2 linked regions of the Arabidopsis thaliana genome follow. The protein of the gene in region 1 interacts with the protein of each later gene in a pairwise test. Each region holds a gene or a part of one and is shown on either strand. Other genes may lie near its edges. The genes, in order: GYRB1 and GYRA.

Region 1 (15,352 bases):
GACGATGGATGAGCACCGTAGCCACCGGGAGATGGAGATCCGTAGGAGGCGCCGTGAGGTTTCTCTTTGTGCGGCTTATTATGGTCTCCTGGAAGAGACGCGTACGGTGCTGACGGTGGTGCACCGTAAGGAGCGGGCTGAGCTCCGTAGGGAACTGCGTACGGTGAGGAGGCTGATGATCCGTACGGAGGAGGAGGATTGCTGCCGGATGATCCGTACGGAGGAGGGTTATTGCCGGTTGATCCGTACGGTGGCTGAGGAGGTGGTGGATTACCGCCGTAACCGTAACCTTGGCTTGATGGAGGATAACCAGACATGGTGAGAAGAAGAAGAGAAGCTTTCAGAGAGATCAACGAAGAAGAAAGTGAAAAAATTAGTTTGCGAAATTTGGAATTATGATATAATGAAGAAGGAAATTAGCTAAGTCAGATATTTTGGGGTTTGGATTATTACGATGAAGCCATTAGTTAAGAACGAATTAGCTCTGTACGCGTTGAGGGGTGAAATCGTAATTTTAAGATGATATACGCGGCTGACGCGTGACGACTGACGCGTCAATTAAAATGAACGAAACGGCTGAGGCCCATTAATGAAATGAAATGGCAGACGAAAAAACAAGAATGTATTGAGAGCCTTGAGGCCCAGTATATTAGTTTTTTTCTTTTGGTAGGAGGCCCAGTATATTAGTTAATTATCCAAATAATTCATATCTCGCACACATTTTTCTTTATATCATGAAAAGTGAAAACTAAGAGAAACGTTAAAACTTCTAATTTCGTGATACATGCCATCAAATAGCCACTAACAATCTCAAAATCTTATATAAACCAAACATGAACCAACAACAAGTCCAAAATAAATAAACCAACAAGGCAAAAAGAGACTCCCAATAGAATACGTAAGTTGTTTTTAGTATTATACATTTTTGTTAATAAACCAAAATGTACAGACAAAATCTAACAAGTTTTCATGATTTTACGAATCACAAGTTTTAGATATAAAGTATAATATAAAGAAGTTCTGAGACATTGGCCTAGTCCTACTAATAAAGAATAAATCTAGACTTTTGGACCATTTTTTGGTAAAGAGCCGAATTTTTTACCTAATCTGGGGGAAAAAGATTTTGTTTATTAAATTTTATTTTCCTCTTTGATTATCATAATAATCAATGTAACACAAATACAACAGTTTTATACATAATAATTTCAAAACTCCTAAATAAGATTAGTCAATTCAACTTTTCTCAAATATACTTTCCAATTTAAAAATACATTAATTAGTCAACTGCACATTAATTAATATATAGATTTCAACTTAATAATACATTAATTATCCCAAACAAATAATTTGTCAGTTCAACATATATTTATATATCTTTAAAAAAATTAAAACCTTCGTTTTTTTGTAATCCATCTGAGCGCTTCAAGAATGTCGTCCCATGCTCGAGGTAAGGAGCTAATTCCTCTCCTGTCTTTCTCCCACCAAAAAAAACAACCAAATCTCTCGATCTCATCGACGACGAAGATGAACAAGAAGAACCCAGATCAGAAATCCGACATGTCGTCTTCTTCATCTTCTCCGAAGAAACAAACCCTCTTCATATCATCCTTAATCATTCTCTGGTACACCTCCAACATCGGTGTTCTTCTCCTCAACAAGTTCCTCCTCTCCAATTACGGATTCAAATTCCCTATTTTCCTCACAATGTGTCACATGTCCGCTTGCGCTATCCTCAGCTACGTCTCCATCGTCTTCCTCAAGCTCGTCCCTCTCCAATACCTCAAATCTCGTTCTCAGTTTCTCAAGGTTGCGACTCTCAGCATTGTCTTTTGTGCCTCTGTCGTCGGTGGAAACATCTCCCTTCGTTATCTCCCTGTCTCCTTTAATCAAGCCGTTGGTGCTACGACGCCGTTTTTCACTGCACTCTTCGCTTATATCATGACCTTTAAGAGAGAAGCTTGGGTCACTTATGGCGCTCTCGTCCCCGTTGTTACCGGTGTCGTTATCGCCAGTGGGGTACGTCTTTTTCTCTACAATTCTCGTAATGAAAACGTCTTTGGTTGTTGATTTTGATTCTGCCGATTTTGAAATATGTGTTCTTTTACCTGTAGATTGTGATGTCTGATTTGTTGTTAGTTTAGAGCCATTCAAGATGATTGTTTGTGTTCCACGTATGTGTCTGAAACCCAAAATAGGTTTGCTTAGTTTCATGAATGTGATTACATTCAGTATACAAATTCAATTTTCCCTGTCAAGTACAAATTTGAGTCCTCTGTGGCTGTATTATCTACTTATCTAAAGCTTCATCCTTTAATGCGTTATTCCAGTCATGTGTTATCTAAAGCTTCAGACTTTCTTCTTGTAACTATTGCCATTCTTACATTCTACATTGTTCTGTGAATTATTTGATCTCTTTGCTAGGCCTTAGCTATTGAATGTTTTGTTTGTTGATTATGGGATTTCTGTATTGAATGATCCTGCTCTGGGTCTGCCTTTGTGGTTACAGGGTGAACCAGGTTTTCACTGGTTTGGATTCATTATGTGCATTAGTGCTACTGCAGCAAGAGCTTTTAAATCTGTTCTTCAAGGCATCTTACTTTCTTCCGAGGGGTAAATCCGTTAACTTTTCTTTTGCATTTGGTTACTCAATGAATCAGAAAACCTTATTATATGCTATAATAATGTAAAAGGTTCTGCAACTACAGTTGGATAAGCAAAGTAGGAAGCTGAAGCTACTAATGCTCATCTTAGGGTTTAACAGATCGTTAAGTTTTCTTGCAGAGAAAGGTTGAATTCGATGAATTTGATGCTGTACATGTCTCCAATAGCCGTCATTGCTCTTCTGCCTGTCACAATTTTTATGGAGCCGGACGTGATGAGTGTGACACTAACACTCGGAAGACAACATAAGTACATGTATATACTTCTGCTGGTTAACTCTGTAATGGCTTATTCAGCCAACTTGTTAAACTTTCTGGTTACCAAGCACACAAGCGCACTTACCCTGCAGGTAAAAATACTGAAAAGATTTTGAACTTAAACAAAACTAGAGGAGTGCCTAATTGGATCAAACATGTGTATGTTTAATGTTTCAGGTCCTTGGAAATGCTAAAGGAGCGGTTGCAGTTGTGATATCGATCCTGCTTTTCCGAAACCCGGTAACGGTGATGGGAATTGGCGGGTACAGTATAACCGTTCTCGGGGTGGTTGCTTATGGAGAGACTAAACGCAGGTTTAGATGAAGCTCAAAGACTGATATTTTCACTTAACTCATTTTTGTATCTTAACCTATAGACTTATACTTACTTATATATGTAGGTCGATTCTATGACTTATGTTCTTTTTGTTCTGGAGTTGTTGTGTTGCAAACTTGCCAGACACTTTGTATTCACTCACTCAGAACCATAAAATGATCCAGTTAAATTCATTTTTTTAGTTCGATTCTACCAATACGCAGGTTTAGATGAACGCAACACAACAATTCATGTATACGTATAAAGAAACTGAATCTGTCAAACTGTGGCATGTTGCAACCTTCTGGCATCAAATGAGAAATCGGGTCTGCCCATTCCACATGGAAGATGACCATTGTTTACATTCAAAACCAGAATACAATGGTCTCTTCCGGTCTTCAACCCATTTTCCCTTTGCAGAGTTACAAACTGAATAGGAAACCAAAATGCATCACAAAACCAGACTATAATATCTTGAGATTCAAAAACTTTGGATCATAAACTTACTAAATAGTAGAAGACATAGCCAAAAAAAAATGAATACTAAAAGCTGTGGAGAGCATATAAATACCTGAAGAAGATGAAAACTGACGTTATACATCAAAAAGAGAATCATGAAGCGAGTTTTCCTCAGAAACCAGGAGTAAAATCACCAAAAGAATGATGATAATCAAGGCAAGTGATACACTCCCTCTGAATATATGACTTTTTACCACCAGACATCTTAGAGATTATCATCAACAAAGAAAACGCTTAAGCTCTTCTATATGAATTGCATTGGTTTTAATTTTGTTCCAAGCTTTTTGTTTGACAACAGTTTTGATACTTCGGAAAAGAGAAGTAAATAAATATAAACATAGGAAGGGAGGAGCTACATGTCTACTATTTTTATTTTATAAGCCAATCAGAGCGTTTCATGTCATACCCCACTCTCACCTCTCGGGCAATTTCACACCCACTCTCACCAATCGCGTGATGAGCGCGTGTATACGTTTTCTGTGGGTTCTAACCCACCAAATGGCTTGTTTTGAAACACACTCGCTCCTTTAAAAAAAAGCCTCGAGTGCGTGATTTCAGTGTCTTTCTCCTTTAATTCCAATTCAAACCCAACCGAAATCAATTGAATTTTTCAAAACCATGTAAACCGAACCGAAATTAAAACACAAACGACAAACTAGCAATTGTCACTTCCACTATTGATCCAACTCCGACGAACCAGATTGATAATTTTGATTCGATTCCACACAGATAACATATAGTCCAAACCAAACGCAATTCATAAGAGAGCCAAATTATTACGCTATGTTCGAAGCTTTTTTAACTTGCCACAAATCAATTCACAAAATAAGAAATTGTGCTCAGAAATTTTCAGAAGAATTCTCGATCATAACTTTATGCGGTGGTGGTGGCTGTGAATAGCCAACGGAGATTGCTCCATGAGAAATTGAACCGGCATCGCCGCCGGTTTCATTGTCCACATAGTAACTCCGATTGCTGTGCGAGTTTATCTCAGTCTCCCTTATTGCGGTAATGGTGAAACCAGTCCACATATATTTTAATCAATGGATTATTGGGCTTTTTATATTAGGCCCATTAAATTCATCCGGCTTTTAAATAAAATGAGTTTTGTGATAGTCCGAGACCATTGCATTCCTCAGTGAATACAACAACATTATCTGTCTTACTAAATGTAAATGACCATATCAACAAAAAAAAATCGACTTGTTTGTCAATAAATAAAAATTCCTCGATTTCCATATTCATATAAAAGAAATAGATACCAAATTGTTGGCAAAAACAAGCAAATAATACATATTTGTGGGGAGAGAAACAAAAAAAAAAGCTACACTTTAATAGAAAGCTAATAACATATTGTTGACTTATGATAACTTGTAACGTGACTTCACACGCGTAGTAGTATTACTTAAAACTTAGGTCACGTGAACTGGATACTTATGAACCGAGTCACCCCACGGGTTACCCACCAATGACTCGTTAGCCGGAATCGTTCTCAATGCTCTCCACACAATACTATTACATTTAAAACCCGACCCAAACGCCAACTGCCAAACCCTATCTCCTCGTTTGACCCGACATTTAGCCTCCACGTAAGCCAGCTCGTACCACAGCGACGAGCTTGAAGTGTTTCCAAAGCGGTGCAAAGTCATCCGAGACGGCTCAAGATCAAACTCACTAAGTCCAAGACCTTTTTCAACCGCGTCAAGTAACGCTCTACCACCAGCGTGAATACAGAAATGCTTGAAACATAGTTTAAAATCCGGAACATATGGACTAACCTTTAACCGGAAAAGCTTACTCTTTACCAAAAAGAGGATAAACCGGAGTTTTTCAGATAAAGGCAAAACAAGCGGACCAAGTGCTGTTAGATTCGTCTTTAACGTGTCACCAGCAACAACCGTTAGTTCTTTAGAGAGTGCGACTCCAACGATACCTTTACTATCTTCTTTTTGTTCAGCACAAGTGTAGTGTTTATCGCTAGAGCCTTTGTGAGTCCTTACAATATGAGTCAATTCGTACTTAGACCGGACTCGGTCTTGACTCCGGTTTGAGAGCATAACCGCAGCGCCACCTACTCGGAATAGACAGTTAGGGACTAACATTGACCGGTCGTTGCCTCGATACATGCTTAGAGTCATGTTCTCCGTACTAACAATAACTGCGTAGGTATTAGGGTTTGCCTTTAGTAGATTTGTGGCGAGGTCCACGGAGATTCCTAAAGAAAGTTCAAGAAGCTATGAAGAGTGGTAAACTCTAAAAGGAAAGATAGAAACTGGGGAGTTGGCTGATAAAGATGGACAGTAACGATTGCGTAATATAAATTTATCGGCCTCGTCAAGCCCCGGCGCTGCATCCCATACCGGAGAGATTGTAAGTTTTGACGTCGGTTTTAAGCTTGTACCGGTTTACGATCATGGACGAGAGAGATGGGTTAGGGTTAAACAAGCTGCAGTTTACGATGAAGATTCCGACTTCTCTCGGTTCGATTCCGGTTTTCTTAAATAGTGAGTTAAGAGCTCCGAAGATGACTAATTCGGATTCATGTCTCGCCTCGTACATTGATGGAGTTGGTGGAGAGGTTAACATGCAACGTGGGGAGTACGTATCGTCTCCTAAACCGGACCGGTTTAGTATCCTCGTCATGAATTGGATTGTTTCTTCGGTGTAGAGTTGAGCGCCTTTGGCCATGTTGAAGAACGTTTCGGATGAGATTTTGCAAGAATCCGTGGGTTGGTGACATGAGAAATCCACTAGGTAAACCGGTTTAGACCGGGTGGTTGAGTAGGCATAGAAGAAGATGGATATCAGGAGTAAACCGATCTTGACCGGAAAAGGAGAGAAGAAGTCATGGTGAAAGTGAAGTAGATCAAGTTCAAAGAGAGATAGAAGGATGAGTATAAGCAAAAGAAGCTTGAAATCTGCCATTGCAATGAACATATGAGAAAATATTGGGCATTGGGTGGGTTTTAATTTATAAGCAACGTACCTTACCAATATTTATGATATGAATAGAGATGGCGTTAAGCGCGTTTGTGCCGCGGAAAATGTGGTCTGCGTTTTAAGGTTCACCTATTCAAACAAAATTCAGAGACATCGAAAATGAAAAATCCTTAATGGTTTTTTTTGGGCTGCAAATCATAATCGGAATTTATTTAATTGAAGTACAAGAACTTTGGGCCGGGTGGGTTTGAGTAACCCGGCCCGACATGAGTACCCGTAAAACTTGTTTGAAGCAGAAGAAAACATGTCTTTGACTGTCACCATCAACTCCTCCATGGCTCTAGTTCAGAGACAACACTCTTATCTTCTCCGTTATTTTCGTCTCATGGCTTCTCGTCCTCGTCCTCGTCTCTTCTCTCACTCTCTATATCCTTCACTTCACCGTCACTCCTCAGCTCTCAGCTCTTCAACACCCAGGTATTGTATTAATTAGCTCATTTCTTCTTTTCACTTTTCCGGTTTTGGTTTCCGGGGAAATTACGCAGTGAAATGAAGATTGAATAGAAGAAGCAATACCAATTTGCCTCCGATGATAAAAATCATTCCTTTACGCGATTGCTGATAGTTTCCAAGTTTTCTCGGAATTGGGAATTTTATGTTATACTACTTTTCAAGTGAAAGTCAATTGCTTTCTTCAGCTCCTTCAAAAATGTTTTTCGTATTTGGTCACTTTCAGGGCTTTAGTTTACTATTAACATTTAGCTATGTGATTCGCTTCCATAGTCTGAAGCAAAAGTTGGTAGTATAACCATTATTCACATTTGGTTTCAGGATAAAGTTTCAGTTAGCCAATGTTTTTAGTCAAAGACTTGTACAAAGAAATGCGGTCTCACCTAAAAGTTTTATGTCATCGACCATGGAGTCTCTCCAAGAGAGCTCTACCTCTAAGGATTATAGTTCCGAGCACATCCAAGTAATTCCTCTAAAGATCTTTTTCGTTTTCTTGCTTTTTTAGATGATTTGCTGTTTTTATGTTTGTGTACTCGATCATTGGAACGATGTTTTCTTCTATAGTTATTGAAAATTCCTACTATGAATCTCTTAGTTTCACTTTTTTGGGTTATTGTATCTTAAATTCTCTATGGTGTATTAGGTGTTGGAAGGCTTAGACCCTGTCAGGAAAAGACCTGGGATGTATATTGGTAGCACTGGATCTCGTGGTTTGCACCATCTGGTAAATGCCTTTTTCTTTTGACGTTCTTGGTCGTGACTGGCTCCTATCAACTGGTTATATCCTTCCCAATACATGTTGTTTCTTAGGTTTATGAGATCCTTGACAACGCAATTGACGAGGCCCAAGCTGGTTTTGCTTCAAAGATCGACGTTGTTTTACATTCAGATGATTCAGTCAGCATTTCAGACAATGGACGTGGGGTATGTGATTTGTTCCACTTACTCATCTTCGCGTATATTTGTAACTGAAAACATGGATATTGTTTTCTTATGCCGAGATGCAAGAGAAAGGTTAAGTGGCACCCAATGGCATTCTGTACTCTGTAGTTATGTGTAGGAGCCAATTTTGGTATTCCTAGCTGATTTTTCTCAAAGCTTCCGGTTTTATATCTAATGTGCACCAAGAGTAAACAATATATGTCAATCATGCTCTATCTTATTCATTTACGTTTTTTTTATTTATTTTGTATATAGCTTTCTTTCATCCCAGAAGTAAAATTTGTTGCTAATATCAAAATGCATTTGGTCACTTTTATTCATACAAGCTTTCTGTCTGCAGATACCCACAGATTTGCATCCTGCAACGGGAAAATCGTCTTTGGAAACTGTCCTTACGGTACTGCCACTTGACAAACATCTATTAGTACACCTTATACTTATATATTGTGTAGAAAGCTATCTATGTTTGTCTCAATGTTGATTCACACGTATTTTTGTTTTTGTTATCCTAACATTTGGTCCTGCAATTAATCAGTGCTTTTTATTTGTGCAGGTCTTACATGCAGGTGGTAAGTTTGGTGGCAAGAGTAGTGGGTACAGCGTGTCTGGTGGATTGCATGGCGTAGGTTTATCGGTTGTGAATGCATTGTCAGAGGTGTGTTGTAACCGTTAGTACATTGTTGCCTTTTCTGCTAAATTGAAAATATCCTCTGTCACATGTTTGTAATGATAATTAGATCCTGCGCATTTGATCGTATAGGAAGGGTTTGCTATGTTATTGCAAATTCTTTATTTTGTGTGAAAGTTAATCTAATGTCCAAACCTGATATCATATGAGAAAGATCCTGGAATGGTTCTGTACTGAGTGCTGGGGCTATCAATTTCAGATACTTTCAACTATAAGAAACTGTTATATTTGGCAAGACATCAGGAGTCTATTAGGATAATATGCATACAACTAATTATGGAGCTCCCATTATTCACAGGCATTGGAGGTTATAGTTCGCAGAGATGGAATGGAGTTTCAGCAGAAGTATTCTCGTGGAAAGCCCGTAACAACACTTACATGTCATGTCCTACCACCAGAGTCAAGGGGGACTCAAGGGACATGCATCCGGTTCTGGCCTGACAAAGAAGGTTTTGCCTGTTTTCCGTACTTATCTATTGTACCCTCCCAAAGATAGGATTTGATGACTAACTTATCTTTTCTGAAACAAACTGGTAATCAGTATTCACAACTGCAATTCAATTCGACCATAACACTATTGCTGGACGGATCAGGGAGCTTGCTTTTCTCAATCCAAAGGTATAGGCAGCCGTGATATTTGATTTGTGTGCTTCACGGAGCATTCTTAACCTGCTCGTTTTAGTGAGTTCTTATTTAGCAGAAGCTAGTGTTCGACTGTTTCCTTTGTCATAATCAAGAGGTTCATATTGAATGCAGGTTACAATCTCTCTAAAAAAGGAGGATGATGATCCAGAAAGGGACGTGTATAGTGAATATTTTTATGCTGGAGGGTTAACTGAATATGTTAGCTGGCTAAATACTGATAAGGTGAGGCATGTACTGTGGGTCCCTTGTTATAGTTGTATAAAATCTCAATATTTGCCAATCGGTGATGCTAGACTTAAAATAGTGGCAATTAAATTGGAATGGGTTTTGTGAAACAAAATGCAATGGGGATGGTACTAATACTTTTCCTTCTCAGCTTACTTGATGGTAAGATGTGTTGTCTGTTCATTATTCTTTAGGGCTCTATTTAGCATGAGCATGGAACCTTTGTAAACTTAATCTCTATTATGTTAGCTCTTATGCATTTAGGTCTCTGGTGTTATAGGTCATCCTTATTACTTTTCCCTTCCGAAAATATGAATTTACAATTCGTTTTGTTCAGAAACCGCTTCATGATGTGCTGGGTTTCCGGAAAGAGATAAATGGCTCCACCGTTGACGTTTCACTTCAGTGGTATTTTACTCTTCCTTCTACATACGTCGTCTAATATCTGCTCATGTGATGAACAGATTATAATCTGGGTTGCATTTAGCGTAAAACCACATACTTGAACATTTTGGCTGACTGATTTTATGGTTTACTTTATCTAAACTGGATGGAAATATGTTGTACCGTATGCGGAGTTGATGACTGTATATACAGTTCTTCTAGACGAATATGTGTATATCATGGTAGCTATCCAAAATTTATATGGATCTAAGTATATAATCTCGTTATTGTACCAGGTGCTCAGATGCCTATTCAGACACGATGCTGGGATACGCGAATAGTATTCGGACCATAGATGGTGGGACACATATAGAAGGTGTGAAGGCTTCATTAACAAGAACTCTAAATTCCCTTGCAAAAAAGTTAAAGGTTATCAAGGTGGGATACAACTTACCAACTGCGTTTTTTCCACTTTATATTTCCACTCTTAGAGGCTTAGAGCCTTTTTCCCCTTCTCTTTTCCTCCTTTTTCATGGAAACTGCAAATGCCTAATTGCGGTTAGTTGGTCATTATTGTGGTTGAAAGAGTCTTCTGAGATAATGTAGGTCAAGGGTTATATTATCTATTCCTCTCCATGGATTGAGACTAAATTTAAATACTCATCTGCACTTAAAAGACATGCTTTACGGACAATTAATAATGTACTACCATGATTGAACTGTGAAACATGCCAGTTATAGAGGTTGTTTTTTGCTTACATTTAAGCATTTATCTTGACCTGTTCTGAAAAGGTTGCTAACTCATAGTGTAACTTATTGTTGTTGGTTATGTTTTCAGGAAAAGGATATTAGCTTAAGTGGGGAACATGTTAGGGAAGGATTGACCTGCATTGTCTCAGTCAAGGTTCCGAACCCTGAGTTTGAAGGTCAAACAAAGGTACTAGGGAGCATAATGATATGTTGACCCTCATTTTTGTCAACAATCTCTGGTCAGCAGGCCATAAGTTTTCTTGGATTCTGTTGATCATTTTAATTTTTTTGTGTCCCAAAGACAAGACTAGGAAATCCAGAGGTGAGAAAAATTGTTGACCAATCAGTCCAGGAGTACCTCACGGAGTACTTGGAATTGCATCCGGATGTACTTGAAAGCATTATTTCCAAATCCTTGAATGCGTACAAGGTGCGACATTGAAATACCTGCTCATACTGTCACATCTTCACCTACACACACATGCACTCAAACACTCAAACATGTGTTTTATCCCTTGAGAAGCATTTTCTGATATCTGTGATTAGCGTATTCTTTGATTGAGTATGTGTCTCCTACAGTATGTCTAGTTACTAACTTCAACCAAATGACCATGGATTTTCCTTGCTGACTCTTTCTTTTTAGGCTGCTCTGGCTGCCAAGAGGGCTAGGGAGTTGGTAAGATCAAAAAGCGTTTTGAAGTCATCCTCACTTCCTGGGAAACTTGCAGATTGCTCATCTACAGATCCTGCAGAATCTGGTATGCATTAACCAATATGAAAGTGCCTTGTAAGCTGTGAAAGTTAGTCAGTTTATTGACATCTATCTCCTATGCTACCAGAGATTTTCATTGTCGAAGGAGATTCGGCTGGTGGCAGCGCGAAACAGGGTCGTGACAGGCGTTTCCAGGTAAAAAAAATCATTCTGCTCAGCGTGTCACTAACAGGCTCTGCTTCTATTTTGTTAGTCTGTAACACTGTATTTCGATCTATGCAGGCAATTCTTCCTTTGAGAGGCAAAATTTTGAATATTGAGAGAAAGGATGAAGCAGCAATGTATAAGAACGAAGAAATTCAAAATCTTATTCTTGGCCTTGGTCTTGGAGTTAAGGTAATATATCCTTTTTCATATCCTGCTGTTTGTTGGTATGTTCGGAAAACTCAGTTTGACATAAAACTTATTTCAGGGAGAAGATTTTAACAAGGAGAATCTGCGTTACCATAAAATTATCATCTTAACAGATGCAGATGTTGATGGTGCACATATCCGGACACTTCTGTTGACCTTTTTCTTCAGATATCAGGTACTAGTTTAGTTTGATAAAACATTAGTTGAAGTAGCCTTGATTGCTGATTGAGTTATGTGAAATTTAATGAAATTTACTTTCTACAGAGAGCCTTGTTTGACGCGGGTTGCATATACGTTGGTGTTCCACCTCTTTTCAAGGTAAGCTCTTAGTATCTATAATCTTATGCTTCAGATTGAACGGAATTTTTTTCTAAAGCTAGTCTCTCTGTGAAAACGATCAGGTTGAGAGGGGGAAACAGGCGCACTACTGCTACGATGATGCAGCTCTTAAAAAAATCACTGCTTCGTTCCCTGGAAACGCATCCTACAACATTCAGAGGTTCAAAGGTAAAACATCCTACTTCTCACATCATGAATGTGTTCTTTTGGAAAGGATAAATAACTATGAAAAGTAATGTATAGTAGTTGTTATGTGTTAGCTATTAAGATACTCTTGAGTGTGTGCATAACGAAATCTAGATTAGTCTCAACTATTGGATTCTATGTAATGTTTCTTGCTTTTGCATCTGCAGGTTTGGGTGAGATGATGCCTGCGCAGCTATGGGAAACAACGATGAATCCAGATACAAGGATATTGAAGCAACTAGTTGTTGACGACGCAGCAGAAACGAATATGGTCTTCTCATCTCTGATGGGTGCTCGGGTAAGCCAATGAATTGCCAGACTCGGACTCATGATAATAGTCAATAAACTGGCATAACTCATCGTGACAATGTTATGTTCTGTGTATGTTTCAGGTCGATGTCAGGAAGGAACTCATCAAAAGTGCTGCGACTAGGATGAATCTGGAGAATCTCGACATATAACACAGCTTATAGTTATTGCTTCAGCTATATACAAACAACAAAGAAACGACTCTGGTGAAATGCAAAGGGAGACATCATCATTTCAAGGTTAAATCATATAGTCACAGGCCAACAGGATTTTGTTCTTCTTCTGGCCTATAAAGGACAAAATTCATTGTTAGGATTATCTCTTTCAATGTCAAAATTTAGCAATTCACAAGGCTCTTTGTTGGGCGTTTCTTTCCATTGGAACTAGAATTTTTCTAGAGACAAGAGAAATTTGCATTCACTAGGTATTTACTATATATTATGACTTCAACAATTTGGCATTCCTGAAAATCATGCATGCGACGAAGTTAAAACTAATGATTAGAAGGAAGATGAGAAGGTAACTATTGTGCAATGAATATCTTCTCTGCCTGTTGTATTGATTTTAATTGTATTCGAGGTTAAGTTTTGACTGATGTTTTACTAGCGATCGCAGAGTGATCGATAATTAACAAGTTTATTTTTCGATTTGGTAGGTATATAGTGAATTAAACATGATTTTTGTTCTTCCTGAACAACCTAAAGCAGTGTTATGAACGCATCACGCATGTAACAACCAGTCAACCATATTAGTGTGACTTTAATTCATTGAATAAATGAAATTTTTTTATTTTCAACAAGGCTTGTAACGGTTGATAAATCTACTCAGAAAACTTCTTTTTGTTTGTCTTGCAAATACAAACGATACGTTTCAACTCTTTTTTTGGCGTCCAATAATACTTCTTAAAAAATAATTTGTTTATTGTCATGAGCTACACGTGGGAAGACAAGTCCTATCCATTATTACTACACACTACTCCAACATTTGCCCACATTTTGAAAAAAACATTTTTTTGTAATTCAATTATTCGACACAACCAATCCCATCTCTTGTTTCACTTCCGCCCTCCATCTTTCTTCGTGATTGAGAGAATCTTCAACGAAAGAAAGCAACTTTTTTTGGGTGAAATTCACAGAACAACCAAGGTTTTTCTTCTTCTTCTTCTTCTCCAGTTCCTACAGGTTTACTCTTACTCATCTTCATCTTTGTCTCGTTCTTGCTCTTCAATTTCTGGTCTTTTTGTTGTTCTTGTCTTCTCGCCAAATATACTAAGATCTAAGTTTTATATCATTGTAATTATCACCAACGAACTGTTAAGACCAAATTTGATTACTCGAAATGGTTTTGGGTTTAGGGTATGAAGAACTGATCAAAAGATTCAATTTTTTATGAAGTCAACTTTCATCTGCAAATTGAGCAATCTCAGATTTCGATTGTGTTTCAGAATCATGCCTGACAAGAACATCGTAGAGGACGTTATCGGTGATTTGGTGGATAACTTCACGGAGACTGTTCAGAAGAACAAACATGGTTCCTCCTTCTTCGAACAAGAAGATTCCGTCAGTTCTCGTTTCAACCGTTTGTTTGATCGCCAGAAGCCAATTCATCATGTCTTAGGCGGTGGCAAATGTAAGAATTCGTATACAGGAACATAAATATGAGATTGGTTTTTCTTGTAATTGAGTATTGAGAGATTCCTTCAGCTGCTGATGTGTTGTTATGGAGGAACAAGAAGATCTCTGCAAGTGTTTTGATGGGAGCTACCGCAATTTGGGTGCTTTTTGAATGGATCAATTTCCATTTCCTGTCTCTCGTTTGCTATGCCCTCTTGCTTGGTATGATTGCACAATTCGTTTGGTCTAACGCCTCTGGATTCTTAAACCGGTAACTTGTTGGAGTGTTGTTGTCATTATTATTGGTACCTTGTGATTGCAATCTAACACAATGTCCTTTAATGTCTCAAAGCAGCTCACAGTCTAGAGTGCCTCGCCTAGTTCTTCCAAAGGATTTCTTTGCTGAAGTCGGTGTGGCCGTTGGAAAAGAAGTTAACCGCGGTTTGTTGTTTCTTCAGGACTTGGCTTGTAAAGGGAATTTGAAACAGTTCCTCATGGTGCGTTGTTTGTTTCAATAACCACAATCTTGTTTGTATAATGTATTAGCACTTTCATTACTATGCTAAGATAGAAACTTTGATCACAATATCATTTTTCAGGCTGTAATCGGACTATGGGTAGCTGCAATGGTCGGGAGCTGTTGCAATTTCCTAACTGTTTTGTATATCGGTGAGTGGTTCTTATTAGTGTATCCTCTTTTGAGATTGGAAGTTGAGTAATACAAGACTTTAAAGGGATGCATTTTATGTGTGTGTGTGAAGGGTTTGTTGGGGCACACACAATGCCGGTTCTGTATGAGAGATACGAAGACGAAGTGGATGGTTTTATGGATTCTATGATCATGAAGTTTCATAGTCATTACAAGAAGCTTGATACTGGGTTTCTCAGTAGAATCCCAAGTGGAAAGTTTGGATTAAAGAAGCGTGAGTGACTAAATCACTCA
Region 2 (15,372 bases), 170 kb from region 1:
AAGCTTTCTGCAAATTAAATTTCAAGTCTTAACCATAAAATTGCATTGATTAATACGCACCTCTCCTTCGTAGACAACCAAATTGACGCCTTTCAGTATCTCTTGTCTCGATTCAGCAATCACTGCTCTCAAATCCCTAACTTCAAGCAACGGGATCCTCCCCACGTCATCACGATCTTCCACCAACGAATCCGAATCGACGGCTGAGGATACGGAAGACGCCGAAACAATAACTGAACGGCGAGTAGTTCGCAGGATTGGAGCGGCGGCGGAATTAGCTCGGAGATTGCATAATAGAACACGAGAGGGTGAAGTCCCGAGGCGAACTCGCTGAGTAGGAAGAGGAGGAGGAGAAGAAACAGTTGGAACGAATTGAGCTATGGAGTATGCGTGACGGAGCTGTAGGTTAACGCCGGCCATGGAGACAGAAATTGCGGCGGAAGAAGACGGTGGAGGTTTTATCCGGTGAAGTGATGTGGTTAGTTAGGTCCAGGGATTCTTTTAATTTCACATGTTGAATGCCACGTAATATATATATCGGCTACTAGCTTAATTAAAATGGAAACAAAAAAAAAATGGAAATAACAAATAAAACGACATCACTTTGTGTTGATACGCATATTCTTCAAAACCTTAAAAGCTTCTTTCCTTGAAGTACAAGAAACTATTTACACATATGAGACCTTGGGATGAAGAAACAGACAAAGTCCATACCCTAAAGCAATCCTAAACCCATACCGTAATCTCAAAATCTCTTCTTACCTCTCTTTCTATCTTATATACATCATTCAAACATTTTTTATGTTTTCATATACAGTTTGATTCATTTATTTCGTAAAGGCTTTGAACTTTTTGTCCTGATATAGTGTGATCTATATATAAACATATATGGCGGCGATTTTCAAGAGACCAAGGCCGGGAGGTGGCCGTCATCCGCCACCGCTGGCTCCGACAGTGAGTAGTTTCAAGCCGAGAGCTCAATGGACTAACTCCGGATCTTCCATTTTCCTCTACGTTAATCTTCCTGGTCTTTTTTCTTCTCTCTTTCTTTCTTTTTGTTTCTTGAGATCAAACTTTAATTGATAACAAACTTTATGAATTTCTCGTTTATTGTGTGGAACCGGCAGGGTTTTATAGGGATCAAATAGAAATAAAAAAGGATGAGAGGACAAGGACTGTCCAGATTCAAGGCCAGCGACCGCTCTCTGCTCAGACTAAGGCTCGTTTCAGTGAAGCTTACCGTGTCCCTGATACCTGTGACATGACCAAATTGAGCACCTCCTTCTCACATGGACTCTTGACCATCGAGTTTCCAGCAATCGTGGAAGCTAACAAACAGGAGAAAGCAGTCCAAGATCAGGAGAAGATTGGACAGAGGTCTAATCAGGAGAAAAGTGGAGGGCCTGGTCCTAATGGGAGTACCTTGGGACGAAAGAAAGCTTTGGAGGAGGAGAAACAAGTGGGAACAAGTCAAGAGAAAACCACTCCAACGTTGAATGAAGAAGCACCCAAAACGTATAAATCAGTGGTTGAGGGTAAAAGAGCAGTGCCAACGGGCAGTCAAGAGAAGTCTGAAGCGAAAGTTAAAGCGCGAGAGGCAATCCCTAGCTTAGGGGGAAGAGAACGTGCGAAAGAAGAGAAGGTGGTTGAGAGAAAGGAGGCTGCTCACATAGTTCAGCAAAAGATAGGAGATAAATTGAAGGAGGAAGAGGCTAAAAGTACACCAACCCTTGGTGGTAGCTTAAAACCTAAGGTACAGGCAAAAGAAGAGAAAGTAATTGAGAGAAAGAAAGATGATGATATAAGTCAGCTTAAGACTGGACAGAAGGTGAAGGAAAAAGAGATTAGCAGAACGCCGACCATAGATGCTAGAGTGGAATCCAAGGAACATGCCAAAGTTGTTGAGAAAAAGGAAGATGGTGAAATAGGTCAGAAGCTGGAGGGAGGAAGGATTAACTTGGGACCAAAGAAAGAAGATAAATTTACAAAACCAGTTGTTGGTGATGAGGCAAGAAGAATAGAGAAGAATGTTGCTCAGAGAAACCAAGCAGAGCCTAAGCTAAAAACGAAAGAGGGAGATGAAAGAATCAAACTGGATGTTGATGATGGCGTGAGAAACAAGCAGGATGAGAATAATGAGATGGTTGGAGACATGGTTAGTGAAGGAGAGATTCAAGACAGAGTGGAGCAGAAGAAGATAGACGAAGCTGGTTTAGCCAAAGATAGAGGCGATCTAAAGGATAATGCTGAAGTCGTGGAACCAGAAACCGGTCCATTACTAGTCAAAGAAGGACAGAAGAAGAGCGACATGGATCCTCCTCTTGCAGTAGGAGGAAGAGGAATGGGTGAAGAAGAGAGTCGGACATATGACATACCTTTGGTGAATGTTGGTGTAGCTGCTCTTGTGATTATGGGGTTTGGTGCTTACGTCTTTGTACCACTAGTAAAATATTTCTCCTGATTTGTGGTTAACAACAAAACAAAAGTGAGAAGAGCACTACTGTTTTGGTTATAACCAGAATAATTGGTTTCAACTTTCTTAACATATGTATATAGTTAAACCCAACAAAATGTGAAGCAGATTAATGTTAATAACTAACTTCGATCATGGTTTTCTCTTCTCGTAGTAACATCACAAAAAAACAAAATGAAGAGAGTTAGCACATAGACTCTATGTACTGAACTTGACAATTGTCTCAAAAACTGGTGGAATTGGGATTGTAAAATTTACAGGCTAACGGCTTCTACGGCTTCATTACTTAGAGTTCCTTCTGTTTCTTCTTCATCTGCTGCAGAGATCAGAGATGCAGATTGGATTTTGCCGGCATGATCTAGCCGCATAAGAATCACTCCCCTGAGAAATTAACAATCAAATGAGAAACCATATAAAATATACATTTGAAAAGACTGTCACATGAAGGGAGTACCGTGCTCTGCGAGATTGGATTGAGATATCCCTGACTTTGATCCGGTTCACAGTTCCGCTTTGGCTCACCAGAACTACTTGCTCATCACTCTCCCCATCCTCTGCAAGAAAACCCAATGGTGAGATTATATATAAACAGCAATCAAAGAACATTTAAATCCGTATTTGTGGCAGTGTATACTTACCAGCCAAGGAGTAACCAACAACGAAAACAGCAGCCAAACGATCATCCTCAGCAAACTGACAAATTGAGATTTAGATGTAAGGGAAAAATCAACACAAACACAACCAAAAATGGTGAAAATCCAGATCCTACCTTGTATCCAGATAAACCAACTCTGTTCAGACGCGAACGCCGGAAGCTACTCAGAGGAACACGCTTTCCATAGCCATTCTCACACACGAATAATAGCCATGGACCCGTGGATTGTTTCCTGCTTTTGTGATTGTGTTAACAAAAGAAGACAGTAAGACATAAGTAAGTTTCTAGAGCAAACATCAGCAGATATAAGTTAAGAAAAACATACACAAGTGAAGCATCTTCCGACTTCTCTTCCATATCTTTCCGCAGAGATGCAGGTATGATGTCCATGCTCGCTATCTTATCCTCATTCTTGAGTCTCATGGCAGTCACTCCCTTTGTATTTCTGCTCAGTGTGCGAACCTAAACAAACAAAAGCCATCAGAGTTTGCTCAAGTATTAAAAGGTTTACATGAAAGATGAATCATTTAGAAAAAATGAGAGCCACAACTTACACCATCACATGTACTCAAGGCGACCATTCCATTTTGGGATGCCATGGCTACAAGATCGTCGCTTGAGCAACAACGAACCCATTTCAGTTCATCACCAGAATTCTGAAGACAAATAATTTTGTTAGAGTAACCTTGTTAAGAAGACTTCCTATATGACTAAGAAGAAAAAGGGGACAAACCAACTGAATTGCTATGATTCCAGTTGAGCGTATTCCTGAAAATAATTTCAAAGATACTTTCTTGATGCAGCCATTCACTGTAAGCATCAGGAGGTAGCGATCTTCAGCAAACTCGCTAACAGGAACAATGGAGGTTACTCTTTCACCTTCCGACATGGATAATATCTGCTTCCACAAGTCACATGAACACAGCAAAACATTAGCCTTTCATAAAATTGAATAATTTTTGACATAGCAGAAGGAAAACATAGATACACAGATATGTAATTACCTGAACCAAAGGTGTACCAGCTGCATTGCGAGAGCATTCTGGAATTTTATATGCACGGGTTGAGTAAACTATACCCCGGTCACTGAATGTACAACAAGTATAAGCAATGAATTACAACAAGGCAGAAAATTAATATCCATGTGCGTAGCAAACACAAAGGAAATTTTGAGGTATACATACCTGAAAAAGAGGACATGGTCATGTGCATGACAAACAAGAAAGTCAGACATTGCATCATCAACTCTTAGTTTCCCAACAGATTTGCCAATTGTTCCACGATGCTGAAGATTGAATGTATCGGCCTTCATTCTCTTCACATAGCCCTTTTCGCTGACTGCCTATAGTCATCCATATCAAAAGTTACAAAACAAACAACAAAAATTTCAACGTTGAGAAACTTTCTAGGTTTAAGTATGCAACATACCATCAGCATCTCTTCATTTGGAATAACATCTATATCTTCTAGATCACCACTGTCAGAATCCTCCAACATTGAACGCCTGGGACTTGAGAATCTGTCCTTCAGCTCTATTGCTTCTTGTTCGATTAACTAAAGAAAAATACAAGAAAAACAACGAAGAGAATAAAGTAGTAAGTAATATACAATGAAGTAAACGAAGCAAATAGTTCAATTTTGGTCTACAAGAAAATCATCATGTATCAGTTATCTTCCTAACATTGGCCCAGAACAGCAACATATAGTAAGCAGCTTTACAGATATAAAAATAAGTACCAAACAAGAAATGGAAGAAGCATTTGAATCCTTATACCACATCATAATGCATGGACTAGATTTTGAACCTCAGTGGACTCAAACAGTCAAGCTTACAAATTTGGAGTACATATATTGATGCATCTATCATTCTACTAGCATCTAGGTGTTCTAAATTTCTAATATCAATAGCCAAAAGAACAGATAACTAAAAAGTGAGTGTGTCACCTTTAGGATGTTTGTTCGGGTTGATAATAGCTGCTCCAACTTTGTAATTTGCTCTGTTAGTGAACTACTTTCATCAGTAAACTTTTTCCGCTGCATTTATGAAGGGAGAATCTAGTTAGAACATTGTCAAGCCTACAAGTTTCATAAATTGAACTTAGCGAGAATAAGAAAGCACCTCAAGAGCAGTTAGCCTTCGAAGAGTTATCTCCAGTATAGCCTCAGCTTGTTTCTCAGAAAGACCATATTCTACATAAGTAAATGTTTGACAAGTGTTAATTTTAATATATGGTATCGTCCCTTACAATAGAGACTTACAAAGCATAAATCCCTAAGAAATCTTTGCAATTAAGATCAAATCTTACAACGAATGAGACTCCAGCAGTTCCAGATAAAAAGACAAGAAATATATAATGTTCAAATGTAATATGGAAGAGTTCACCACAAGATGTATTCTTTTAATAGTGTACATCCTAGACTACATCTATCAGTCCACCTAAGAAAAATTGGCTCTAGTCTACTTTTTGACTCCTAATTCTCGCTCACTTTTCCGAATTCTGTTTATACATCAACCTATAATGTGCAGTTCAAGATTGTTACATTGATTATATTGTCAAAGTAAAATATAGCTCACCACTTTGTAAAGCAGCAGTAGCAGAGGAATGACTTGAGGCCTTCGTGATGAGTTCGATTACTTCGTCCACATTGTCAAGCCCAACCACAATACCCTAAGCATATATACAGTGAAGATATTAGAAAAAATGCTTTACATCATTACATCATGGTCTTCACGAGCAGATTTAAGAAAGTTAAATATTTCTAGTCGCACCTCAATAATATGCTTTCGTTGTTGTGCATGTGAAAGCTTGAATCTTGCACGCCTTTCGACGACAGAACACCTGAAATCTATAAATGCCTACACACAAGCAAGAAACAGAAAGTAATCAACAAATTTACTTTAAAATGTGATTACAGTAGCACAGAAGTAAATATCCTATCTCTGATCTTCACTTTTCTATTACTCCTTGTGGGCTACGTAGATAAATGATTTACATAGACAAGTGGTCACCTGAAGTAGTTCTTTTAATCCCATTAGCTTGGGTTCTCCATCGCAGATACTGTAAAACACAGAATACCATAATCCAGTTACGATAAAGAAAAACGCATATGTGAATACATGATCCTTAATATATTTACAAGCATAACATACTCATTAGAGAATTTTCAACTAGTCATCCTGGAAAATGCCCAAGTTCTTTTATATGCCCACTCTTCAAAAAAGTACAGGAAATAAGAAGTTATCGGTTGATGCAACTCACCCCACCATGTTGCAGCTGAAGCTTGATTGAAGGGCAGTATGCCGGTAAAGATTATTAAGCACAAGTGCAGGATCCCCTCCTCTTTTGAGCTATAGAGAAGTATTGGAAATTATCTTAATTACCTTCCAATATGAAATTTTAAAGCAGACTAATACATCTAAGTGCAGAGGAAACAGTGTAATACCTCAATAACCACACGCATCCCATTACGATCACTCTCGTCACGTATGTCACTTATGCCCTCTAGCGTCTGAAAACAAACACCAACATCAATGAATAAAGAAGAAACTTTGCAAGCATATAAGGACATACTAGAAATGTAACACACCTCTGAGTAAAATAAGTACATATTGCTAAGTGAAGCAAAATAAACATTAGATGTCGCAAGTTTAGTTGTACCTTATTTTCAACAAGTTCGGCAATCTTCTGGACAAGTGTAGCTTTGTTTGTCTGGTAAGGAATCTGCAATAAAGTCACACTAAAGGCATTACTCTACTGCTAATAAACATTTTTGAAACCCTCATCCATGGAGATCTGAACATTAATCTAAAAAACTAAATTGATCACCTCTGTGATAATAACTGCATTCCGCTTTGTCTTTGGATCCAACAATTCAACTTCAGCTTTTCCTCTAACTACAACTCGCCCTCGGCCAGTTCGGTAAGCATCCAAAACCCTTGAAAGCGCAAACACACATTAGAAAATTATAAGAATCCAACATTGTAAAAGGAAATGGCATATGAATGCAAACTATTTTTTTAATAAAGGTATTCAACAAACTCGAGAGTAAATGTACTACACAACATATAAGCTTTCAGAATATTAAAAAATCACTCACACCATCAGAAAAAAACATGATGATTCAAAAACTGCATATGACAGACAAATAAAGGAAAACTATTAACTGGACCATCCTCTTCACTCATTTTCTAGGTTCCTTTTAAGATATAGGTACAGCTTCTGTAATCTGTTAGAATCATAGATCAAAACAAAACAAAATGCTTTTCTATTTCCATAAAAAAAAAGTTTCACACTTTAGAAGTGAGTCTTTCTATTTGATCCTATAGATAGCCTACTCTCAAAAAATTAGCAAACGAGGTGGGCAAACAAAAGTCATTAATGTATAAGATCCCTTTGGGGAGAAATTGGAAAGCAAAGAGTTACCCAAGGTTTCCCATTATTATTCCTCCAGTTGGAAAATCCGGTGCAGGCATGTATTCCAGCAGTTCTTGCAGCTGCCCAGACGAAGAAGAAAGTGGAAACAAAATCTTATGAGTTGTCTACTTATAAAACAGAGGATTTTTCATGTAAAACAAAAGACCCACAAATTGATAAATCACAGAAAAACAAAGGGGAGATGAGTGATACCGTTGCTTCTGGATTATGGATTAAAGCGCAAAGCACGTCTACCAACTCCCCAAGATTATGAGGGGGAATATTTGTTGCCATGCCAACCTAAACAATGTGAAATGATCAAGATTCAACTGCATATTCAATCTCATACAGCAGGGAAAATCTGCACAAGATTAACTGAAGAAATCTCGAACAAAATCTATTAAGGAGTTCAGATTTAAGATTTGTTTGATTATTTTACCGCAATCCCAGAAGCTCCATTCAACAACAAAGCAGGAAGACGAGCAGGCAACACTGCTGGTTCTTTTTGTGAGTTATCAAAATTGGCCACAAAATCCACCTGCCAAAACAAAAGAGGTTAAGGACCATCTAGTTGAGTATCGGTAAACTTGGCAACAAATTAATAGTGAGGTTACCGTATCTTGATCCAGATCAGACAATAGTACTGCCTCTGCCAGTGGCTGCAGAAAAAAAATAAGTACAATCAGCTGAAAACACTGACAAAAATACATGTTCATCTCAAGACAAGAGAAAAAGTAGAGATGAGAGATACACTATAGATAGCAAAGACAAGTGAAACAACTAGAAAAAGTGAATTGCAGGGAAAACCATTTCAACTAGAAGGGAAAGTAAGGTAAAAGGCACTCACATCGAGTCTGCATTCAGTGTAACGCATAGCAGCAGGAGGATCTGCATCTATTGAGCCAAAATTTCCATGGCCTTGGATAAGTGGACATCTCAAGGAGAAACTCTGCCAAAAAAACAAAGGTATTAAAACAAAAAAGTCAGAAGTTTGGGAAGAATCGAATCGTGCCTGAAACATTATTTGAGGACTGGACTACATTCCATGAATTCAGATATTTACCTGAGCCATCCTAACAAGAGAATCATAAACAGCAGTATCTCCATGCGGATGGAATTTACCAAGAACCTGAAAACCCAAAGAATTCAACAGCACAAATCGTTCTTCAGAATAAGATATTTAGAGAAATCGACTGAGAAAACACTTTCCAAAAATCAATAATATACCTCTCCAACAACTCTTGCACATTTCTTGTATGGTTTTTTAGATGACATCCCCAACTCATGCATTGCAAAGCTGGAAGACAAAATAATCGAACATTAGAAGGAACAATACCACTGACTAAGCTTAAAAATATCAGTAGCTTTGAGCCGAACGAAAGTCACTCAACAGAATTCTCCGATGTACTGGTTTTAGTCCGTCTCTAACATCAGGCAAAGCACGTCCAAGCAAAACAGAGAGCGCATACGACATATACGACTCAGTAGCTTCCTTATGTAGCTCAAAAGGCACAATACGAGATTCGTCCCCAGAAACAACCAAACCGCCATTGTTAGCTCCGGACTCTTCCTTGACCTGCTCATCTCCGCGCTTACCAGCACCGACAACGAATTTGCCGGACCGAGGAGTACGGGAGGAGAAGAAACGCGTGGCGGAGGGTTCAGTGCGGCGGAGACGGCATAATGGGTCGGTGAGGGGGAATCGGAAGAAGGAGCGGCGAAGAAGGGAGGAAGAGAGACGGAGAGTGGAGGAGAGAGACATGAGAGAGTTAGGGTTAGGGATTGAAGCAGTGGAATGGCATAATACTGGAGTCATGCCCAGAGGGTTTTAGGGATTTTTACAAGTACAAATGGATTAAAGTGCTAAAACCCTAGAGAGCCACACCGGAGAATTTCTCAGGCGCGAATTTCAATACTTTGGCGGGGGTCTTTGTGTCCAAACAAAAAACTAATCTGTATCTCTATTTGAGATATACACTATTTTATACAAACAAGATTATAATAACTAACTTTCGATTTCAATTTCTAATTTCATACTTGTATAGTGTCTTTGTTAGATCAATTACAGAACTAAATTCACCAATTGTTGAAAATTTAACAAATTTATGGAGAAATGTTAGTCACATTTTTGAAGTTTGCGATTCTTCTATCGACTCGAAAACGGTAGAGAATGATTTACATTATGTATTTGTAGCAAAAAAAATGTATCAAGCAATGATGAAACTCCGACCAAAGAGACCAGAGAATTTCTCAGACAGGATCAAAAAGAGATAAACAAGCAAAGAATCAATAAGCGTGAGAGATATAAGGGACAAAAAAATCGAGTTTAAGTGGGGAAGAAACCAAAAACTCCAGGATTGATCAGAGAAGAACACGAGCAGCGTCACCTGCTTCACAGATGAGAACAGGTTTTCCTCCATTTAGATTGTTAGCAAACTCGGGTTGGGCCTTTTCATATTCATCCTTCACATATGAAGCAGCTGCCTCAGCTTTTTCTGCATCTACAAAGGCTAGACAACATCCCCTGAAACCTGCACCGCTGAATCTAGCTCCATATACACCAGGAGCCTTCAGAAGAATCTTGTATAGCTGGATCAGTGGCTCCGCACCTTCACAAAACTCACAGAATTTAAAACCAAAATAATGAATCTAAGAGAGAATAATGTCTGTAAGCATACTAGTGGTCTGTATTCACTATAGGATATGTTGCATTTGGGAGAGAAGAAAAGAGAGTGTAATGTACCGCATTCGTAATTCTCAATGGAACTCAAGCCGGATGCTGAAATTAGCTTTCCAAATTCTTCAAGATTCCCTGAAGCCCAGGCTTCCCGTCCTGAAATTTAAGAACAAACATTCATAAAAGTCCGTTAAGCATCATAAAGAGCTTAATGAATCATTCATGCACATAAAGAGACATCTACAAGAATTCAAGAACATTTGCCTTTGATAACTCGCATGTTCTCCGAGAAATAATGCTCTGCTCTTTTAGCTAAAACCGGTTTCAGCTCATGCTGCACGAACAAGTATTATTGTATTACATATTTACATAGGCCTGATATAGGTGGAACCTGTTTTACCAAAAGCTTAAGAATCTTATTTTCTTACCTTGTGAGCTTCATAGACCGCATGCTCAACTATTCAGTGGGACAGTTAGAGACATGGCAACAAAGAAAAACTAATCAGCATGCAACGAATAAGTTAAAGTCCACACTTAAAGTTTTTTTACCATTGCACAACGTAGGTTCCAGCTCACTGTTCCCAGATGCACTGAAAAGAAAAAGTAAATCAAGAGAAGGGTGTGAATCTTGTGATGCAGAAAAATGAGTATCACAAGCAATAGAGAAATAAACTTTGCAGCATTTCCACTGAAATTTAAATCTAAATAAGCGAAAATGTAGATAAATATGAATCAAACAGATTTGCACATACGTCAAAAGAACTTTTGCTGCCTCTTGACACTCAGAAACTCGCAGATTATATCCTGGGTTGGTGGTCAACGCCTGCCTCAAGCCTGAGAATGCTAACAATATCCTGAACGGTTTCTCCAGTTCAGGAGCCTGTACAAGCTCGTGGTCCAAAGTCTGCATATTTCAAACAGTTTTTCTGAGATGGCAGTTTCTGGAAGAAAATAAAGTTTCCCTATCTATGGCTGGTTAGGAAGGATTTCTTCAAGGCCTCCTGATTCTAACCATTCATTTTCATTTTAGGAAGAAGTGAACTCAGCATTGAAATACATTAAAATCGAAGCAATTGAAAAGATTAAACACTTATTTTCTCGTGAAAGCAATGAGAATGTTGTAGATCTGATTTGATCGTGAGTCATTTTCAGTTTAGAGATCAAAAACATCTTAGGCATCCCATTGAACAGTCTTGGTTTTGCCACATGAACAAGCTTCTTGCTTTTTTGCACACTATATCACTTACAAATCAAGGAATTTTACCTTGCAGTCCATGTATGTTAGACACCCATAATTCGAAAGCAAAATAGCTGATTGATCCAAAATTCCATTCCGCAGACCCAGATACCCATTCTCAATAAGCCTGCAGACGCAGTAAGTCACATATAAATTGACCAATTTGCAGCACTAATTGCTGGTTTCACAGAGAAACAACTGCTCATGAAGCAATACAGAAGAGCTTCTTGGTTACATTAGAAGGGAATATACCTGTCATATTCGATATTTTCTGTTGGGGATACAGTCAATTCGTTTGCATTCTCTAGAGCTAGCAGGTATGCCACACCAACCTGTCACATTTCTGGCGATCATAAAATAATATACAAGATTCATTTTCCAAAAATGACAAGTAAACACCACTCTCATATGCTAAAAATGTTTAGTTACTATTAAAGAGCAGTAAAAATTGTCTTTCCGGAGAAATTTCTGCTGTACAAAAACAGGCGGGATTCAGTTACTTACAGCAGCTGATGAGCTAAGCCCGGAGCTATCTAGTCCATTTGAGCCACTGAGGTAACCAATAATGCCCTTCAAAGATCAAAACAATTACTTAGAAACATATTCAAATACCTTTTCCATTAAATACAATTATGTCAACTATTATGGGGAAATCAAGGCCTAAAAGATCAGGTATGGCAACCAAATAAGGGTAAATGTGGAACCCCAGAAGATCACACAGCAAATGTGCAGGCTAAACCTCATTTCCCATTAATGGTAAACTTTATCTATAGCTATAACCAGAAGACCAAATTTGAACCTGTTACCTGTTTGAGATTCTTTTTGCTGCTCTGTAACGCATAAACTGCTCCTCTGGCATAAGTACCCCAGATACTTTTTTCCTTCGATGGAGATGGCGTGCTTGCACCATTCTTGTTTGCTAGGCCTATTGGGTGCTGGATTTCATCTACTCTATAATTTCAGAACCCGAAAAGCTATTAGCATTATGCATAGAAGATCTTCAATTCCTTTACCACCATGACGAGTACAAAATTGAAATGCACTAAGGAAAACAAAAATACCTTTAGAAAAGGTAAAATAGAATGCATGAAACAGAAACTAGAAAATCATGCAAGCTCATCCAAAACGGATACTTTTGTATCCCTTACAGCGCTAAGGGTCTTCAATTTCCAATGAATTCTAGGGAATTATGAGCAAACTTAAAGGTTGAATCTGATAAATGTCTAAGACTTAAGTGAAAGATAAGTTCATTTTCATACTAAAATGAGATATAATGGAATGCTGGCCAGATCGAAATACTTCCACAATATCCAAGGTGCACTTTACCCTATACGGGGCTTAGTAACAAGCTTATGCACGTCTGAGGATGGATATAAAAGTTTGAAAACACTAACGACAAGATGAGAGATCATGAAAGATATGCACACCTGAAACATACTTCTCCTTCAAATTGTGCAGAGCGCAACTGGACCTGCATATAAATTAGAAAGAGAATAAACGGTACAGAGACTTCAAGGCTCAAGTGAAACACACAGACACAAGGAACTTTCCCAGCTCCGAAATATATGTTTGTCTCCTGTCTACAAACCACATTCATTTTAAATTATCCAATTCTTTAATGCTTTCTCAGGTCAGGTGAGAAACAAAAAGAGACCAGGATACTATATTGTACACAATTAGAATCTCCATCTACTCTTAAGCTGAACCAAGCCCAGAATACGGAATGCTACTTAAGAGAATTGCATTATACCATCAACGAGACATTCATCTAAAAATTAGAATGGTGCTTATTTGCGCAAGAATCCAAGCATGTCAAACATATGAATTTGATTGACAAGTTCACTTATAAGAAACGCAGAGGTATACCAAAACACATAAGAATCATGATAACTAATACACACCTGAGTATCACCCGATGGAACAAAACCAAGAAGGATCCCTTTATTAATCGTCATAGCTGATACAGTTCCACCCTGTGAACACCAAAGATGATTTGAATTCACAAAGAAATGGTATGAATCAGACTAACTCTTGTAGTTGAATCAAAACAATGATTACATCGCTACAATCAGAAACCAACCTGGTGATCAATGTGAGCTCCTAAAGGACATATACGATAAGGAGCGACCACCACTCGAACTTCTCCTTTATCTCTTCCACTCATCTGAGCCACTGCCTCCTTTATGGAATTTAACTGGAGACATAAATGAACGATCTCGTAGGATTAACACCAAAGCCAAATTTCGAAAACATCCAAACACAAAAAACAAACACTCGCGGCAATCTGCAGCATATACATTGAGCTCCACACATAGAAACTAATGAAATTGTTCGATCACATGTGCGATTGACAATTCGCCGGGGAAATGGTTAACCGGAAAACACATCTCCGTCGCTAATTCTAACGAAAATTAACACAGTGGAGGATATTGGCACCGAGTTAACCAACGATAACAAGCAGATTCGTTGCGTAAATGGAAAAAAAAATGAAGAATAACCTCAGAATCCGTAGGCCAAGACATTGTCGCGAAGCTTTTCCCAGCAGTTGATCTATGGATTCTTAGAGGATTGTAGGAGTACTGAGGTTAGATGGAGAGGAAGAAGTGTGCAGAGGAAGTGCGAGTAACCTTCGAATGAGGAAGATGACCAAATAAGGTGCTGCTTGGTAACACGTCTAATTCTATCCTTTTGGTTAGTGTTTGGTAAACCTTTAATTTCCCTTCAGTTAAAAGCCTTGATTATTTTCACCATCTTTTCTATTCCATGACTGGTTGAGTTTAGTAAAAACAGTAGTATATATTGATTCAAATCAAAAAAAATATGTCTGCTTATACTAATTGAACTATTTTCAAATAGAAAGAGACGAGATAACATTGATCTCATCTCATTTGTTATCCATATGAATTTCGTTCACTTTAAGTGATATAGGTATCTCTCATACTCATACTCGCTATCAATGTCAATTTATACGTACAATGATCCTTGGTACATTTTTACCCAAGACTTGATCTCATATAAGATATAACCCATCAGATATATAAGATCTTACAACGCAAGCTCTTCTCCAACGCCAGATTACCTCTTTGCGAGCTTTCTTGATCAGATGACCTTCTACTTACAGTTTGAGTTTTTCTTGATTTAATTTTATATGTTCTGACTTAGCGTCAAGATTATTCAAATAAAAGGGTCAAGAAGTTGTACAATGTATATCATCAGTATATGTAATTGGTCAAAACAAGGTTTGAAAACTCTCTCACGGAAGCAGGAGAATACATCCGCCGACAATGTCAGATGAAAAACAAATGAATTGCTCTCAAATTTTTTTAGTAAAAATATTCTTTGACAGCTTTATTATATCAAACTTAACTAACTATCCAAAGTTGACATTATAATCCCTATGAATATTGTAATGTCTGATTAGGATTTCAAGAGATTCTATTAAATAAACATATAAATAGAAAGATCTTCTTCTTCTTTTTTTCAAAATATAATCATATTAAAAGAAGAAACCGAGAATGAATTGAACCACAAATCATAAACATAACATCAAGTTGAATATATACTTCCAAACTTTGTAAACTAGAGATAGAACTCCTTGAAAAAATAAATTCGTTAAACCAAGAAACATGCCGAAGCTGAAATCCAACAGAAAACATAGTGCCCAATCTTAAACAAATATGTTTCACCGACAAGCTTATATTAACATAAAAGACTAAAACATGAGGAGCACTTGTAGTTAAATACATCCTTGGTATTTTAATGTGAAGATTTATAATCCCCCTTTGTGCCTCGCACGTAAGTTGTTAGAGGTCTATTCAAATGATTATATTTTTCCTTCGTCTTTATATGGACCCTCCAACTCCAACATCTACAAACCAAACATAACTAACGAGAAACTTCAAAAGAATACAAAGA

The links.
Region 2: the proteins of GYRB1 (region 1) and GYRA interact in a two-hybrid assay, tested with the Arabidopsis thaliana proteins (one study listed by BioGRID).

The regions. Positions count from the first base shown.
Region 1 is NC_003074.8:3,171,401-3,186,752, reverse strand, and holds GYRB1 (DNA gyrase subunit B), read left to right. Parts: upstream 1-6,966; 5' UTR 6,967-6,996; coding exon 6,997-7,169; intron 7,170-7,523; coding exon 7,524-7,665; intron 7,666-7,845; coding exon 7,846-7,926; intron 7,927-8,012; coding exon 8,013-8,126; intron 8,127-8,484; coding exon 8,485-8,541; intron 8,542-8,697; coding exon 8,698-8,799; intron 8,800-9,130; coding exon 9,131-9,281; intron 9,282-9,373; coding exon 9,374-9,450; intron 9,451-9,588; coding exon 9,589-9,699; intron 9,700-10,039; coding exon 10,040-10,110; intron 10,111-10,382; coding exon 10,383-10,524; intron 10,525-10,924; coding exon 10,925-11,023; intron 11,024-11,137; coding exon 11,138-11,266; intron 11,267-11,479; coding exon 11,480-11,594; intron 11,595-11,675; coding exon 11,676-11,743; intron 11,744-11,830; coding exon 11,831-11,944; intron 11,945-12,020; coding exon 12,021-12,137; intron 12,138-12,226; coding exon 12,227-12,280; intron 12,281-12,363; coding exon 12,364-12,469; intron 12,470-12,654; and 5 more. Other genes in the region: AT3G10300 (Calcium-binding EF-hand family protein), read right to left, coding at 1-317; AT3G10290 (Nucleotide-sugar transporter family protein), read left to right, coding at 1,429-2,016, 2,507-2,610, 2,782-3,010, 3,096-3,242; KCS14 (3-ketoacyl-CoA synthase 14), read right to left, coding at 5,165-5,967, 6,113-6,689; AT3G10260 (Reticulon family protein), read left to right, coding at 14,185-14,425, 14,500-14,680, 14,765-14,906, 15,009-15,078, 15,171-15,340.
Region 2 is NC_003074.8:3,336,885-3,352,256, forward strand, and holds GYRA (DNA GYRASE A), read right to left. Parts: upstream 9,477-15,372; 5' UTR 9,360-9,476; coding exon 8,935-9,359; intron 8,841-8,934; coding exon 8,771-8,840; intron 8,673-8,770; coding exon 8,607-8,672; intron 8,493-8,606; coding exon 8,391-8,492; intron 8,203-8,390; coding exon 8,158-8,202; intron 8,082-8,157; coding exon 7,983-8,081; intron 7,844-7,982; coding exon 7,757-7,843; intron 7,624-7,756; coding exon 7,553-7,623; intron 7,065-7,552; coding exon 6,956-7,064; intron 6,851-6,955; coding exon 6,788-6,850; intron 6,639-6,787; coding exon 6,573-6,638; intron 6,478-6,572; coding exon 6,389-6,477; intron 6,188-6,388; coding exon 6,139-6,187; intron 5,986-6,138; coding exon 5,899-5,985; intron 5,798-5,898; coding exon 5,704-5,797; intron 5,319-5,703; coding exon 5,248-5,318; intron 5,163-5,247; coding exon 5,073-5,162; intron 4,683-5,072; coding exon 4,557-4,682; intron 4,471-4,556; coding exon 4,313-4,470; intron 4,215-4,312; and 17 more. Other genes in the region: NAP7 (non-intrinsic ABC protein 7), read right to left, coding at 61-420; AT3G10680 (HSP20-like chaperones superfamily protein), read left to right, coding at 889-1,027, 1,128-2,461; GalAK (galacturonic acid kinase), read right to left, coding at 9,905-10,152, 10,287-10,376, 10,485-10,554, 10,649-10,677, 10,770-10,810, 10,973-11,124, 11,485-11,584, 11,710-11,789 and 6 more. UniProt on the Arabidopsis thaliana protein: A type II topoisomerase that negatively supercoils closed circular double-stranded DNA in an ATP-dependent manner.